Linked DNA regions of Oryzias latipes. Each later gene encodes a partner of the first gene's protein in a complex. Links are inferred from orthologs where the notes say so. Each region holds a gene or a part of one and is shown on either strand. Other genes may lie near its edges.

Evidence for each region. Proteins that work in one complex are often made in the same cells at the same time.
Region 2: the proteins of tankyrase-1 (region 1) and usp25 are in contact, whole or in part, in a crystal structure (PDB 5GP7), measured with the Homo sapiens proteins. The link is inferred for Oryzias latipes from reciprocal best matches to the Homo sapiens genes TNKS and USP25. Residues at the interface, in NP_003738.2 of Homo sapiens: Arg836, Ser838, His842, Leu843, Gly846, Tyr847, Leu871, Asn876, Ser879, Tyr880, His882, Asp900, Trp902, Phe904, Glu909, Gln912, Lys913, Gln934, Glu935; in NP_037528.3 of Homo sapiens: Ser1046, Ser1048, Arg1049, Thr1050, Pro1051, Ala1052, Asp1053, Gly1054, Arg1055.

Annotation. Positions count from the first base shown.
Region 1 is NC_019870.2:18,235,082-18,242,906, forward strand, and holds part of tankyrase-1, read left to right. Parts: intron 1-1,722; coding exon 1,723-1,789; intron 1,790-2,055; coding exon 2,056-2,242; intron 2,243-4,476; coding exon 4,477-4,598; intron 4,599-4,677; coding exon 4,678-4,769; intron 4,770-5,103; coding exon 5,104-5,182; intron 5,183-5,439; coding exon 5,440-5,611; intron 5,612-6,392; coding exon 6,393-6,472; intron 6,473-7,758; coding exon 7,759-7,825.
Region 2 is NC_019872.2:2,553,689-2,561,513, forward strand, and holds part of usp25 (ubiquitin carboxyl-terminal hydrolase 25), read right to left. Parts: intron 6,691-7,825; coding exon 6,452-6,690; intron 6,366-6,451; coding exon 6,295-6,365; intron 6,228-6,294; coding exon 5,999-6,227; intron 4,286-5,998; coding exon 4,019-4,285; intron 3,751-4,018; coding exon 3,611-3,750; intron 2,292-3,610; coding exon 2,115-2,291; intron 1,807-2,114; coding exon 1,711-1,806; intron 865-1,710; coding exon 686-864; intron 1-685. UniProt on the Homo sapiens protein: Deubiquitinating enzyme that hydrolyzes ubiquitin moieties conjugated to substrates and thus, functions in various biological processes including inflammation and immune response.

The sequences.
Region 1 (7,825 bases):
GGGTTGAGGGAAGTCTGGGCATTTCTGCTTAGACTGTTGCCCCCGCAACCCAGTCCCGGATAAGCGGAGGAAGATGAGATGATGTATATTATCCGCTTCCAGCTGATGATGTCAGGCGACATCTTGTTTGCAGCGAGGTCCCTTTTAAAAAATTAGAAGCCATTGTAGTTTTTTTAATATGATAAAAGGTTGAGCAGTGTGTTTATAGGAATTTTTGACCATTCTTCCGAAAGCGCATTGGTGAGGTTACACACTGATGATGGAGGCTTGGTTCTGAGTCTCTGCTCTAATTTATCCCAAAGGTGTTCTATCGGGTTCAGGTCAGGACTCTGTGCAGGACAGTCAAGTTCATCCACACCCAGACTGTCATCCACTTTGGTGCACAGTCATGTTGGAAGACAAAGGGGCCCGCACCAAACTGTTCCCACAAGATTGGTAGCACGGAATTGTTCATAATGTTTTGGTATCCTGAAGCATTTAGAGTTCCTTTCACATAGGGGCCAAGCCCAAATCCTGAAAAACAACCCCACACTATATAATTCCTCCTCCACCAAATTTCACCCTCGGCACAATGCAGTCAGAAATGCACCGTTCTCCTGTCAACCTCCAAACCCAGACTCATCCAATAGATTGCCAGATGGAAAAGTGTGATTCATCACTCCAGAGGACGCGTCTCCACTGCTCTAGAGTCCAGTGGCGGTGTGCTTTACACCACTGCATCCAACACTTTACATTGTACTTGGTGATGTGTGGCTTGAATGCAGCTGCTCGGTCATGGAAACCCATTCCATGAAGCTCTCTGCATTCTGTACTTGGACTAATCTGAAGGTCACATGAAGTTTGGAGCTCTGTAGCAGTTGACGATGCAGAAAGTTGGTGACCTCTTTGCACTCTGTGCTTCAGCATCAGCTGATCCCTCTGTCAGTTTACGTGGTATACTACTTCGTGGCTGAGCTGCTGGTGTTCCCAAACTATTTTATCTTGTTCTGATAGAGCTGACAGTTGACTGTGGAATATTTAGGAGCAAGACAATTTCACAACTGGATTTGTTGCACAGGTGGCATCCAGTGACAGGTCAATGCTGGAATTCACTGAGCTCCTGAGAGCGGAGCAAATTATTTCACAAATGTTTGTAAAAACAGTCTGCATGACTGACTGCTTAATGTGAATACACCTGTGGCCAAGTGATTAGGACACCTGATTCTGATCATTTGGAAGGGTGAGCAAAAACCTTTTACACCAAAGATGTATTTTGGTGTAAAAAAAAAGTTCTTTTATGTTTATTTAAACTAACAAGCAAAAATGCTGTGGCTCAAAGAGTGTAAAGGAATATTAAAAATACTGTATTTAGACTCCAATGATAACAAACTTACAACTGAAAAAATCATTAAATCAGATTCTAACATAATCTTGACTGATAATAAAAATACCCAATAGATGGCACAAAATAAATAATCAATTGCAGCCCCACTTTACTTTATTGGCATGCAATATATATTAAGTTTTTCGGTCTATATTGATTTCATATCCGATGTCTGATGATGTATAACCAAACTTTATGCTCTGTTTTTGGGACAAATTTTGTCATTAAAGCAGAATGTGTGACATGCTGCTTTGTTGAACTGATTTAAACACATTTAATTAATAAGACACGTAAATATAGTATTTTTCATGTTTTGGGTTGTATTACTGAACAAACAACTTTGTGTTTCCTCCTTCCAGTGGGCTGGTACCTCTTCATAACGCTTGTTCCTATGGACACTATGAAGTTACTGAACTTCTTCTAAAGGTACAAACACACACTATTACATTGTTCTTCAAGGAAATGTCCAGACAAAATACAATTTTCTTGTTATTTTGGACACAAATATTAGTATTTGACTAATTATTGACCTCCTAATTTGACTTGAATTTTTTAAAGGTTTCTATTTCCTCTGCTCAGTTGCGATTTCATTTAAAAAAAAAACTTCTGGGTAATTTCTTTACTACATTTCTTCCTTTTTTTGTGCTAAAATTGTACGTTTCTTCTGATTTTATTTTCCTCCTCCTTCTCAGCATGGAGCTTGTGTGAATGCCATGGATCTGTGGCAGTTCACTCCTCTGCATGAAGCGGCGTCTAAAAACCGCGTGGAAGTCTGCTCTTTGCTGTTAAGCCACGGCGCTGACCCGACCTTGCTTAACTGCCATAGCAAAAGCTCAGTGGACATGGCCCCCACTCCAGAGCTGAAGGAGAGGCTGACATGTGAGTCTGTGTTCACCTGCAGCTGACCCCCGATAACCTGCAGGTCAACCTGCATCAAAGGTTGAGCAGCAGCAACAAAAGCCAATTATTGCTTATTTTTCTATAACTTTTATCCCCTGCAGCTGCTCCAGAACCAAGAAGAAATACTCTGCATATGAAGAAAACAGAATTGTTTTTTAAGTTAGGAGACAGTTTTACAATAATTTCTTTCAGAATAATTTACCAAATAAACTGTAAAAAGTCTAGTTTTTCATCATCATATGATTTATTATTTCTACATTCTAACCCGATTAAATCAACTGATTATTCTCATAGAATAAATCATTTAAAAAAATGCTGTAATTTCTGAACAGGTCAGAACCTTTGAAAGAAAAAATAAAGAAAAATAAGTTTAGAATAAATGCTACTTAAAATCAAGCCGTTTTATTTCTAGATCTAGTTGCAGTTAAAAAATCCACATGAAGGATGAAAATACCCTCTCAAAAAATGACTTTATGATTTGATTTTATTTATCAGTTTATCCTTTGCACAGCTGTGTTCCCATTTTTTCTGTTTTTTTTGTTGTTGTTTTTCTGCGTTGGCTCCTGGCCCCTTCTGTCCTCAGAGGTTTCGGGAGTGCGGTTAAAGAGCAGCTGTCTCATCGTGTAAAGTCGGGCTTTCACGTTTATTGAGAGAATCTGGAAAGTGAGAGTTTAGTCACGTCAAGAAATCCTCAAATTTTCTGCAAGAGTTCAAGTCTTTGGAAAATAAAAAAAGGAAATTATATGATAGATTTAGTAATCTCAGTCTTGCACATAGATTTATCTCCACAAATTTAGGATGACAACAGTTCAGGGTTCATTTGTTTGTATTTTTAGCTGCGGGAGAAACATCTAGAAGTGAGCTGACTTTGTTACATTAGGCCTACTAAGTTTCAAATGGTCAATAAAGAAAAAGAAAACGTATAAAGTATTTAAGTATGGTTACGAGTGAAGTTTCTTTTTTTTTTTTTTGTAAAAAGGCAAAAAACTACGGTGGCCGGCTGACCAGAGAAGTGACGATTCATCAACTCTTTTCAGGACTAGATTATCAAGGACTGCCGTATTGATTAGCCTTGATGTTATCAGTTCTCTATAACTCTATTACTGGGAGATTTCTCTCCTCTGAAGGCTGAATGGAGGCTTTGCAGCATTTGTTGCACAAGCGTTGCATTAGCAGACCCAGAGGTTTTAAAAAAAAAAAAAAACAAGTTAGGGAAAGACAGAGATTACACTTTCAAATATGGCACACCACAGGTGTTGCATAAGTTAACTGAGTCAAAATTTTGTAGAAAAAAATAAAACTCACTAAATTTTGAACCATTTTGTTTTTGTGCTTCAGGTTCTACAGTTGTCCTCTTTAGGCTTAATTTTAGCTTAGCTGTGCCATCAGGTGGAGTTTCTACCTTAAACAAGGCAGCTTCTCCCTACAAACACATTTTAACAGATGAAATCGGTTTTGATCATGACGAATCCTATAGGTTTGATAAAAGTCCCACTCATATCATCCTTTCATCTATTTTAAAAGCGTTCCCAGTGGTCCTTTAATTACGATATATTTGCACAATCTCCCGCTAGCTTACAGCCCCTCATACCTCCAACCTAACATTACCGATGCATCAGAAATGGCGAGCAATATCAGAACAATCCAGCCGGACAGTTTATAGCCCGATACCAGCTCAGACAAGGAGAACAAAGATGTACATAAATCTGTTTGTCAAGTGATTGGAGCAGAATGGAGCAGAGCAGGGTGCTTTTGCCCACCCAGCGCATTTTACACTACAAGCTTTTTCCAACAGCATTTTTTGTCTGCTCCTAATTCACAACGATTCATAAAGAAATATTCAGAAATGCAATTCAAACTTAATTTTCTTAATCCCTACCATCATCAGAAAAATGCTAGAAGAGGATGTTATAAACACCAAGAACCCTGTTTTCATCTTAATGGGTCTTTAACATTTAAACAACGTAGAAAAAAAATTAAAAGGAGTAAAAGTAAACTCAAACAATATTTTAAAAGGCAGCACATCCAGAGCCCACAGCAGATCCAAAGGTTTTTCTTTTTTGTTAGACTGAATTTGGTCCGAAATCATTTGTAAATATTTATACATTTTAAGGCTTAGCTTGTCAAATTTGTCATTGTTATTCATGGAAGCAATATTTTTTGTTATCGGTTTATTCCTTCTTTTAAATCTGAAGGTTTTGTTGTTGTTTCAGATGAATTTAAGGGCCACTCGCTCCTCCAAGCTGCTCGGGAGGCTGACATGGCTAAGGCCAAGAAGACCCTGGCTCTGGAGATCATCAACTTTAAACACCCTCACACACATGAAACTGCACTGGTGTGTTTGAACTCAGTCTCCTCACTTTCCTATTATTGAATGTGATTTTAATGTGGTTTTCTATGCTTATGGTAATTAGCACTGTGCAGTGGCATCGCCACACCCAAAGAGGAAACAGGTCACAGAGCTGCTGCTGAGGAAAGGGGCCAACGTCAATGAGAAGAATAAGGAGTGAGTGACTCTTGTTCATAAATTCTAAAAAATAAAAATCCAGCAAGAAGCTTATTTTCCAGATAAGCAGATGGTAAAACTTGACAGTGATCATTGTTACATGTGAGGTGACTCATATGGTAGTGTAAGTTGCAGCAAACTATTCTATTATGACTTTAATGATGAGTAATTACTGGAATTTGGAGCATATTAAACATTTGAAAAACTGGTAAAAAAAAAAAAATTGAACCCTTATTTAGCTTCTTGTAAGCTTTTTTGCCTAATTTATCTACAATTTTTAAGAGCATGTTAGGAACAAATAGTAATTTTTTGATTTTTCTCTGCTTTTCTTCAGTTTTATGACTCCTCTGCATGTGGCGGCTGAACGGGCTCATAATGACATCATGGAGGTGCTACAGAAACACGGTGCAAAGGTGCGAGGTTTTTTGTTTTGTTTGTCACAAAATCTATGTAAAAAATTAAAGTAAATAAAAAAATGTATTTTAAAAATAGGTGATTTACGAATGATTTTTATTGTTAAACTCTTGCTCTAAATACCAACGATGTGCAATAATGTGACGCTACCACCACAAAACTGTGAACATTTAAAGATGCGACTTATGTAGAATACATTTTATTTGAATAAGACAGAAAAGTCCATGCGAGACATCGCACATGTTTGTGTTTGCAGGTGAACGCCCTGGACACGCTGGGTCAGACGGCTCTGCATCGCGCGGCATTGGCCGGCCACCTTCAGACCTGCAGGCTGTTGCTAGGATACGGGGCAGACGCCTCTCTGGTGTCGCTGCAGGGCTTCACGGCTGCTCAAATGGGAAACGAAGCTGTGCAGCAGATACTCAATGGTACGCTGTCCCTCATGATGGTGGGAGGTGGGGTGCGGAGTGCATATGAACTGTGCACGAGTGCGCCCAGAGGTTTAGTTGCTATGCAGCAGCAGTGAGGTGGGGGATTAACTGGAAGTGTTTTGTAAAGGTCAATATTGATATATTCACAGTGATGTTGCAGATGGGTAAATAGGTTTTGAGGCTGAGTTAACTAATCCTTAGTTTAGAAGAGACGCCACATCACAGTTCATTGCTGTGTAATGCTCAGACTAAAGATTTGTTTTTCATCAGTTAAATTGTGTTTCTCCTAAGGTCAAGTCATAAAGAAACAGATGCATGAATGTGGCTCCACTATGTGCTTTGTAAGCTTCAGAAAGAAGAATCACCTTTTGTTGACCAGAATCAGGAAACAGATAAAGGTCATACCGAAAGTTTGTTTTTTTTCAGCTGTCAGTCTGGATCCAGTGAGAAAAAAAATATAATATATAAATATATAAACCGTTTTTCGTTTTTGATTATTTTTGGTAGCCATTGTAAAAGGCTGCGATTCATTATTTTCAGCAAGTTGTTGCCATGGAGAAAATCTGCCAAATTTTTCTCCCGTGGATGTCAGAAATGTTTCTTTCCCAGCATTTTTAGACCAAGAGCACTAAAATGCTGCTAAAGTTGCTCTGGTGTCAACTGTGTACTAGAAAGTAATTTTACTTCGAATGAACAGTTTCTTTCCAGGTATAGTTTTGTTGAGGGTTGAGTTGAGCCTCTTCTTGATTGTTTGATTCCTGTTTTTGCGGCTCTGCAGAAAGTGTCCCTGTGAGGAACTCTGATGTGGATTACAGACTCCTGGAAGCCGCTAAAGCTGGAGATCTGGACACTATCAAGGTAATTTTCCTTCTGTTTAAATATCTTAACTTAAAATTTAAAAAAATGGAAAAATCTTATCAAAATCATATGCGTGTACCAGAAACAATATTCATTTATAAAATCCATTTTTTCTTTAAATTTATTTTAGTGGTTTACTAATAAATATTTTTTTTGTATTTGAAGAATTAGAGAAGAACTAATTTTAATTAGTTCAGTTTAAAATATTTTGTTTTAAAAACTAGAAAAGAAAGTTTCCCCTTTGCAGAGGTAACCTCTAGAATTTCTTCTCCAACTCTGTTTTTTTAACCCCTTTTGGATTTTTTTCAGTGCTGTCTTTATTTCTAGTCTGTTAAAACTGTTGCTGTAGTTTGTTTTTGCCACAGTTATCAAAAACTTCCTTTATTTAAACTCTGATCATCTTTTGATTTGTTGTAAAACTTCCCAGTGATCTTTTAATTACGATCATGCTGTTCTTAGGCCAAAAGTAACATATCTGCGTTGTTTTCTAGAACATAGTTTTTGCAGAGAAGCAGTAGTTCATTAGAAATTCACCTCTGAGTTGTGGGTGGGACGGTTGGTGTGGGGTAAGCCTGCCCCTACTTCCTGTCATCGTCTGTTTACGCGCTCTACCACTATCTTGCAACCCCTCACAACCCCAACCTAACATTACCAACAAACAAAAAATGGCGAGCAATATTGAAGCTATTGAGCTGTATAGTTTTCAGTCAGATTCCAGCTCAGACGAGGAAAACAAAGACGTACATGGATCTTATTGTCTGCAAGTGGATGCATCAGAATGGAGCGGAGCAGAAAGATTGTAGCTTGCCATAGAAGCTTCTACGGCACTTCTACAAGCTTTTTCCAACAATATTGTTGAATCTTCTTCTGATTCACAACGATTTTGAATAAAGAAATACTTATTTATTTAGCACTTTTAATCAAACAACGTAAAAATAGAAAATAAATGAAAATGCTAAAATCTTAAGAACACTATTTTCATCAGAGAGGGCCTTAGGACGTAAAATTTTTGCAGCAGAAGATAACCTGGTGTGTCCTCACACTTGCTGATAGGCAGTGGGTGATTATCATGTTCAGGAGGCTCCGTCAGTGTCTGAGAGGGGAGATGCTTTGACACCCGGGCAGGTGATGTTTAGAGATATGATCTCGGCCTGTCAGCTTTCTTTTTTGATTTTAAGACTAAAATAAGAATAATGTTTGCAGTCTTTTTTTACAACCAAAAACAGATCAGATCTGCCTTTTGGTTGGATTTTTATGCTAAAGTTTCCTTTCTTTTCTGATTGCAGTCATTGTGCACGCCTCAGAATGTGAACTGCCGAGACCTGGAGGGACGGCACTCCACTCCTCTTCACT
Region 2 (7,825 bases), on another chromosome or scaffold:
GGAGCTGCTGAATTAATTTACGGCATTTGTTACAGCCTGCATTAACCAGAATAAAGAACCTTAAAAGAGGTTAAGTCTCAGTGTGGGAAAAGGACACTACATTATTGTATGGCTCTTTCGAAATTACATTTAAAAATATGTGGCGTTTATGGCTCTCTTGGCCAAAAAGGTTCCCGACCCCTGTTATAGACTGTCAGAAGCTGCTGCTGTGGACACTCTGCTTCCCTCTGCTGGTCATTTGTGAGGACAACCACTGTTTGACACTAATGTGTGAAACAGACATTTCTGCCGTCTGAAGCTCATAGGTTTTAAAGATCAACTCATTAAATAAGAAGAACTTTGCTGGAGTCCAAGACTTGTTTTCAAAACAGCAGTTTGTGATGCAAACATGTTTAAACAGGCGCTTCAGTGAAGTCGGTGTTCTTCATAAATGTACCATTGACTGTAAAATAGAACTGGACTGAGTGACCCCTCCCCCTGGTGTTCAGAAAAGGAAGTACCAGAGGGTCCCCAAAAAGCTGAAATGCTGTAGACTTCCACAGAGAAGTAAACAGCAGTTATTCAGTCAGTCATTCTATTGGTCAGAATAAACTATCTTGATCTGATACCTTTTTTGATGAAGGGAGAAGCAGAGGGATTTTATGAGATGTTCTAGTTCTTGGCGTGGGTGAAACTTCTGACTCACCTCTCATCAAAGGCCAAGTTTCTGTCAGCAAACTGAGTGAGCAGAGTCCTCTCCAGGATTTTCTTTGGGGCCTGGTTCTGGATGAAGTAGACGATAATGTGCTGTAGTCGGTAGTCGTTCTCAGGAGTCGGGCCTTCTTGGGCAAACCTCACAAGTCGCGCGTATTCCAACTTTATGGCCTGACAGAGACAGAGAAGAGGAAGGGGTTAAGGCTCTGAGGTGGGGCGGAGTCTCAAACCTCTGGAAGGACTAACGCTGGATTCACGCTGATCTGTCTGCGGCGTCTCGCTCTTGCATTACGTTGGGAGTCCGTCTCACCACCGTCAGTTACTTTACTTCATTGCGTCTCCAGCCCCCCCCCCGGTTTCCAGAGGAGGGGTGGGTTTAGCCCCCATACCCTCTCCTCACTGAGTCCTTGTAAAAAGTCTGTTTTTTGTCATGAACGACCTATATTAAACTTTCAGCGTCCATGGCAAAAAGGATGCTGGTGTCATTTATGGTGTCACCGTTGGGACGCCACCTTAACTCTAAAATAAAATGGTATATATTTTTGAAGTACAACAAATGTTTTTCTGGCTTTTTAACCACAAAATTGACGCGTTAATGGACTGGAAATGGCTGCTATGGGAAGCTTTCATTGCAGAAGGATGAGCGTCAGACGCAAACATGACGGAGTATGTTTGTAATGTAAACCTTCTGATTGATTCATGAACGTTTCACTTTATGGAGACACACTGCAGTGGGACCAGTGTAGATCAGGCTCACAGTCTGGACTTCTGCAGCTCATCCGAGTCGACACTTTTGTGTGACTTTCGGTCATTTCTGGTGGAATGTGAAAGTTCAGTCCCACCCGAAGTGTAACTGCAGACGGGTGGATCAAGCTAGATAGCAAAAGGAGTTGGGTGTTTTTCTGAGCGATGGCAGAGCTTCACTCAGCGTCTACGTCACCGAGGAACAGCGTCAGACATGAGCAAACACAGCAGAATGACAGTGGAATGGGGGGGCAGAAAGGAGAGAGGGAGTACCTTGAAGAAGGCTGCCTCAGGACCGCTCTTTTCATAAATGCTGCTGGATTTGCCAATGGCCATAATGATGCCCTGCATGTTGGGGGTCATCATCGTCTAACCAGGAAGAAGGAGCCGCGTTAAACACAACAACAGGTCGTCACGGCGATCTGTGCTGTTAGAGCATGCAGACACCAGCCGTCCATGCACTGTTAGAGCGGCAGGGGGGGTCTGTACACAGCAATGACCCCAATGAAGCTTCAGAGCCCCAACACAACAGGTCTGTCAAAAAGCCGAGCGCCCCCAGATGCAGAGCAACTTCAGAAAACGCAGGGGTGGGGGAGTGGGGGTGTTAGTGTCTGTGAATGACATCCTCAGGCTGAGGTCAGCACACAGCAGCAGATCCACTCCCCTGTGGTTCACACCTGGTCATCGTACCCCCCCTCCTCTGACTCAATGACAAACGTCCCCACGTTGGGAATGGCCACCTCTACTGTGCGCTGGCCTAGGGACTCCTCCTCTGCAAGCTGCTGCTCACAGGGAGGGCTGGGGGGGGCGCTCATCTGGGTCTCTGGCTGAAGAAAAGAGGGATGGGGGGGCGACTGTGGAAAAAGGGCGACAGAGGAAACAGCAGCGTGACTGGAAGGATTAGAACTAGAGCCAACAGGGAGGGGCTGAAGGGCATCTCCATGTCCTGCTTCTGTTGCTTTCAGGGTCGCGTCAGACCGACCACCCCCCCCAAGGCCCCCAGGTCTACCTTCTCACAGGATTCCAGCTTTTTTGACAACGCTTTGGATTTTCATCAGCTGAAATTTATGCTTCAAAGTAAAAGAAAGACTGGAAACCGTCTGTGTGTCCAGAGGTCACAGATCTACTTTCTGATGTTTCAGTTTGCTGATATTTTTTCATCACTTTAACATCAGAGCTTTAGCTCCAGTGTTTACATTCTACATATGACTCACGATGTTGATGTGAACGATAGGTTATATGTCAGAGCATTGTTTTTTTTTAAGTGTTGCTGGCAGCATCTCCGAGGATTAAGGGTTAATGGCCGACCAAGTGTGCATTATCACTTTTTCACGCACGCCGTGGAAGCTTGAAGCGCCCTCCGGTTGCTTCCTCGAAGTGCGTTAAAAAGTGATAATGCACACTTTGAAGGCCATTAACCCGCTTATACCATGGTCACTTACAAAAGCAATAAATATAAACCAGTTTTTAGTCCTTAATTCTTTTTTTTCCCCCGATTTGGATCATTTTTCTCACAAAAAGCTGACTATTTGTTACGTGGTGCGGCATCCACATCGCGCCGCACCACCGCTGCAGTCAAGATTCGGCGATATAAAGCGATATATATGTGCTGATCTCTCCGATGGGTTGAATAAAGCATCAGTTCAGAGAGAAAGTTCACCTCTTACCGCTTGTTTTTGTCCAAATGATGAAGCTAAAGGTTGTTTTAAAGAAGCCGGCGCAGTAATACAAAACATTTAAGCTAGGTGGCCGGAACTTTTTCTTTCACCGTGCGGTTATCACTGTGGTATATCACTTTTTAACGTACACCCAGCAGCCAATCAGAACAGAGTATTCACCCAGACCATGGTATAAATCATAATAACTTTGGCTGCAGAACGATTACTCTTTTTACACACTAGACGTTGGAGCTCCTGCAGCTCAGTAGGTCTTTCTGCACACAGTCTGTGCAGAAACGCCTGCTCTGCTTGGAACAGACTGTGGATCAGGAAAGTTGCTGCAGGAAAACTTTCTTTGCTTTTTCTATTTTGACCTGTTTAGTCAGGACTACTGTGTGGTGTTCATGTTCATATAAAGCTGAAAGCTGCTCATAAACAGTAGGACAGTGATCATGGGGGTAAAGTGAGTCATTTCCAGCTGATGGGTGGCGGTGCTGTGTCTGCATGGTACATACAGCATTTAACAGGGCTTCTGGCCCCCTCTCCCCCTGCTCAGCAGCAGCCCTGGAGATGGCCCTCTCAGTGTCCTCCTGCAGGTGCTTGGAGTCATTGGTTGGAGACGGTTGCTCCATGTACTCTGGGTCCTGCTGGGGGGCTGCAGGGGAGCAAAGCCTCCATCAGACAAGTGTGTCCTAAAACTGATGTTATCCAGCATCCCAAAGCATCACAGAGCATTTTTTATGCTTTAACCATCACTTTTTCAAGACAGACAGTGGAAACAGATCATACATTAACAGTCTCCTTCTCAGAATGTGATGGGGCATCAACCCTCCAGCTATAAGACTTCTAAAAATACAGAGAGCAGAGCTGAAATGCTGATTCATGCTCAGTTTGGTTTTTCTGCTGAGTCTTCTGTCACTAACCTGCATTGTCGGGGGGGCTGGACTCGATGCTCATGGGCTGTGGGGATGGAGAAGAGGTGGAGGTGCTGGATGATGCAGCAGCTGCAGCAGCTGCTGCTGCGGCGGCAAGCGCCAGCTTCTCCTGCTGGGCCTTGTGAGCCTGCAGGGCATCCCACTCCTCAATCTCCTTGTCAAACAGCTCGTTGTCCTCCTTCACGTACTGCTTCAGGTCTGGAAGCAGTTTGTCCATGCCGCTCAGGATCTGACCGGTTTCTTTATCAAACTCCTCTGCAAGAGAAGGACAAAGGAGGGAGAAGTGAGGGACCGCCCTGTTCAGCCGTCCGACTATATCCAATATGGAAAAATGGAACCAAAAAGCATCCATCAGTCACTGATGCTTCAACTGTGAAAGACAGTTTGTAAAAAAATAAATAAATAAAGAGAATCCGGCAAAACACAATGTAGGATTTTAAGAAAAGAAGCGATTTTGGTTCATAGATCATAGTGAGAGCATTAAGAATGAAGTCAAGAAAACGATTTTCCTCCGCCTTTCAGCCTCCACCGTTAGGGGCCGCCACAGTAAGTCAGCTTAACGGTTGGGCAGAGACTTAAAACTGGTACCTATGTATTGCTTTTGTAAGTAAACGTGGTATAAGCGGGTTAATGACCTTCGAAGTGTGCATTATCACTTTTTAACGCACTTTGCTGAAGCAACCGTCCGACGCGAAGGCTTTCACGGCGTGCGTTAAAAAGTGATAATGCACACTTCGTCGGCCATTAACCCTTACATAATGGACACCTAAAAAAGAAGTTCCGGTCACATAGCTCAACTGTTCTGTATCGCTGCTCTGGCTTCTTTAAAACAACCTTTAGCTTCATCATCTGGAAAAAAAGAAGCGTTAAGAGGTGATCCAAGATCCGTGCTGGCCCAGCCGGCAAAGCGGAGCGGTGCCACGTTACCGTGACAACGTAACGCACCATGAAACAAATAGATTGAGCGATCCAAACTGAGAAAAATGACAAGAATAAAGTCCTAAAAAATGATTAAATATTGTTTTTTTTGTCAGTGAGCATGGTATGAGCAGGTTAATGGCCTTTGAAGTGTGCATTATCCCTCAAAAAGACGGTTCAGGCTTCTTCTGATAAAACACAACTAGTCTGTCATTAACCCTTACATGAAAACTGAGGTTTGTCATTGCATTTTGGTTATACAGGGTACAGGGTGATATTTTAAAAACTAGAAGGAGGTGCATTTCCAGAAGAAAATGCAGGGTTGAATGCTATATTGGTGAATGAAAATTAAACTTAAAGGGTAATATGTGGCAGAAAAAAAAAACAAGAAAGATGGAGATGCTCAAAGTTTACCATTAATAGAGGGAAAACAGCACAATAATAAAAAAGATATGTTTGTGGAAAAATGCAAGCTCCAGATATCAAATTGGTGAAGTCGTGCACCAAAGTGCATGTCTCATGCCATAACACCACCAACCAGGAATATTGAAAAGGACATATAATCCACATAATCCTGGAATATCTTGAAAAGTTCAAGGATTTGAAGGACCAAAACTCATAGCTGCAAAAAGCTGAAAGAGCTGAACATTTGAATAGTTGAATGGTTAAAATAGCTGAAAATTTGTAGAAGGACTTAAACGGCAAAAAATGGCAAAATATACTAAAAGAAAGAAAAACAAACAATGGGTTGAAGGATTTATAGCATTCAACCAATAAGATGCAAAAAAAAAGGTTTCGGGCTCATAAATGAAACCCCCCCCCTCACCAAAAAAAAGATAAATGTCCCTGGAAACCAAGAGGGGATCAGATTCTGGTTGTGCTGTACTGAACAGAACTCCTGTGTTAACAGAGGACTTGAGAACAGGAACTGAAGGCCAGAAAAGGAAAAGCCTCCTTTAACGACACCTCAAACTAAACTCAACCTTCTTTAACAGCTGAAGTCTGAGGCTCTGACACACAGAGCGCCCCCGCCCCCCACTGGATCTGTACCTTCAGTGAGGAAGGGTTTCTTGTCATTGATGTACATCAGACAATAGGCGCTGGCGTTGCGGTAGCCCCCAAACGAGTCCCTGACCAACTCCTCCCACGACGACTTGGTGACTGAAATGTCATTGTACTTCATCCAGCAGTGCTGGTGGGGGTCGTAGATGTAAGCCCAGTAGTGGCCCGCATTGGCCTGGCCCTCGTGGACCAGAACCGCATGAAGTCGGTATGGAACCTGACAAAGCAGCGGAACATTAAAGAAGTCCTGCAGCGGTTTGAGTGTTTGGATGTCAGCCGCTCACCTGCATCATGGATTTGTCCGAGTACATCAGCTCAATGGTTCTGTGGATTCTGCTGATGCTGCCCTGCAGATCTGGGGGGGGGGGGGGGGGGGGGGGGGCACAGTGTCAAGAACAACAAGACCAGACTTCAGGCTCCATCTTGTCCTGTGGGACCCACCTCTGGTGTCGTTTTCCACCTCGCTCCTCCAGCGGTGCAGACACCCCTCCAGCACCCGCAGCTCCTCCTCTGTGATGTGGCGGGGGGCGGGGTGCATGGGCAGGTCTGGAGGTAGTCGGGACTGGGTGAAAGGCTTATGAACGGAGACCCTCTGCTGCTGAGCCGGGCCAGGGGCAGCAGCAGGGGCCGCAGCCGGGCCGGAGCTGTCCTGGGGGGGAGCAGAGTCCTGCTCAGCTGTGCTGTTGGGGGGGAAACGGTGACGATGGTGAAAGGACTGGCAGAAAATACATTTACAACACTGTGAGGTTGCGGTTTTCAGACAAAGATGGCGGCATGGCGGTGGCGTGCAGAAATCTGCAGGATTTCAGTGAAGTACGCGGTTCAGAATCTGTTGCTGCAGCGCCCGCACTAAAGGCCCGTTCACACCGGGACGAATTTCGCCCGCCATTTTCGCCGACGTTTAACGCCTCGTGACTAGACAAAGGGCACCAATGTGAGTGTGCACACCGACGCGAAAAAACGCCACGCGTCAAAGCGTCACTTTTTAAAAAACGCCTCGGGTTCGTTTTTTTGGTTTGACGCGTCGCCTCTAAATCTACTCGACCAATGAGAATGGCGCTTTTGCACACGTGTCTGGAGCTTCTGAAGTTACAGTAAAACACAACTTGGGGGCGCTCAAACACAAAACTGCCTTTCTGAGCACACATACCAGCGAAGAAGATAGACGCCAAGTAGCGTCTACACAGCCGCGAAGAAATAATGACGGACATTCTATAATATCCCCGAACCAAGCACCAGTTGGAGCTACTGGTGCTTGAAATATTCATGTTTTCTTTGAATTATTCTGACAAGCGCGTAAATACTTGCTTTCTTTTTCTGAGGGAAAAGCGACTTTAAGAAGCCTAAAGTTGCGCAGCGCCACCTTGTGTACAGGAGTATTTCTGTTTTACATTAAGCCCCATCTAATGTCAGGGAATGAAATTGCATGTTCGCTCGGCTCATCGTCAGCGAAAATCGCCTGGGTGTGAACACAAAAAACGTGGCGAAAAACGCTGGCGAATATTCGTCCCGGTGTGTACGGGCCTTTACCATGGTGACTCCTGCTGTTATAAACTCGTCTTTTACAGTACAGAGAGCAGACTCACAACAAAACCACTAAACATTGGATCTCCTCTTTCTGTTGTGTCATTGGTTCATAGATCATAGAAATATTTCCTGTAAACTGGCTTCAATCCATGAATTAGTTTATATATTTAGCAAACATAAATCCACAGTTTTGACTAATTTTACAAACTCACAATAATTAAATTACAAGTATATGCAATTCATTGTTGACGTCAAGTCTGCAAAACATCAGTTTTACTATTCATTATA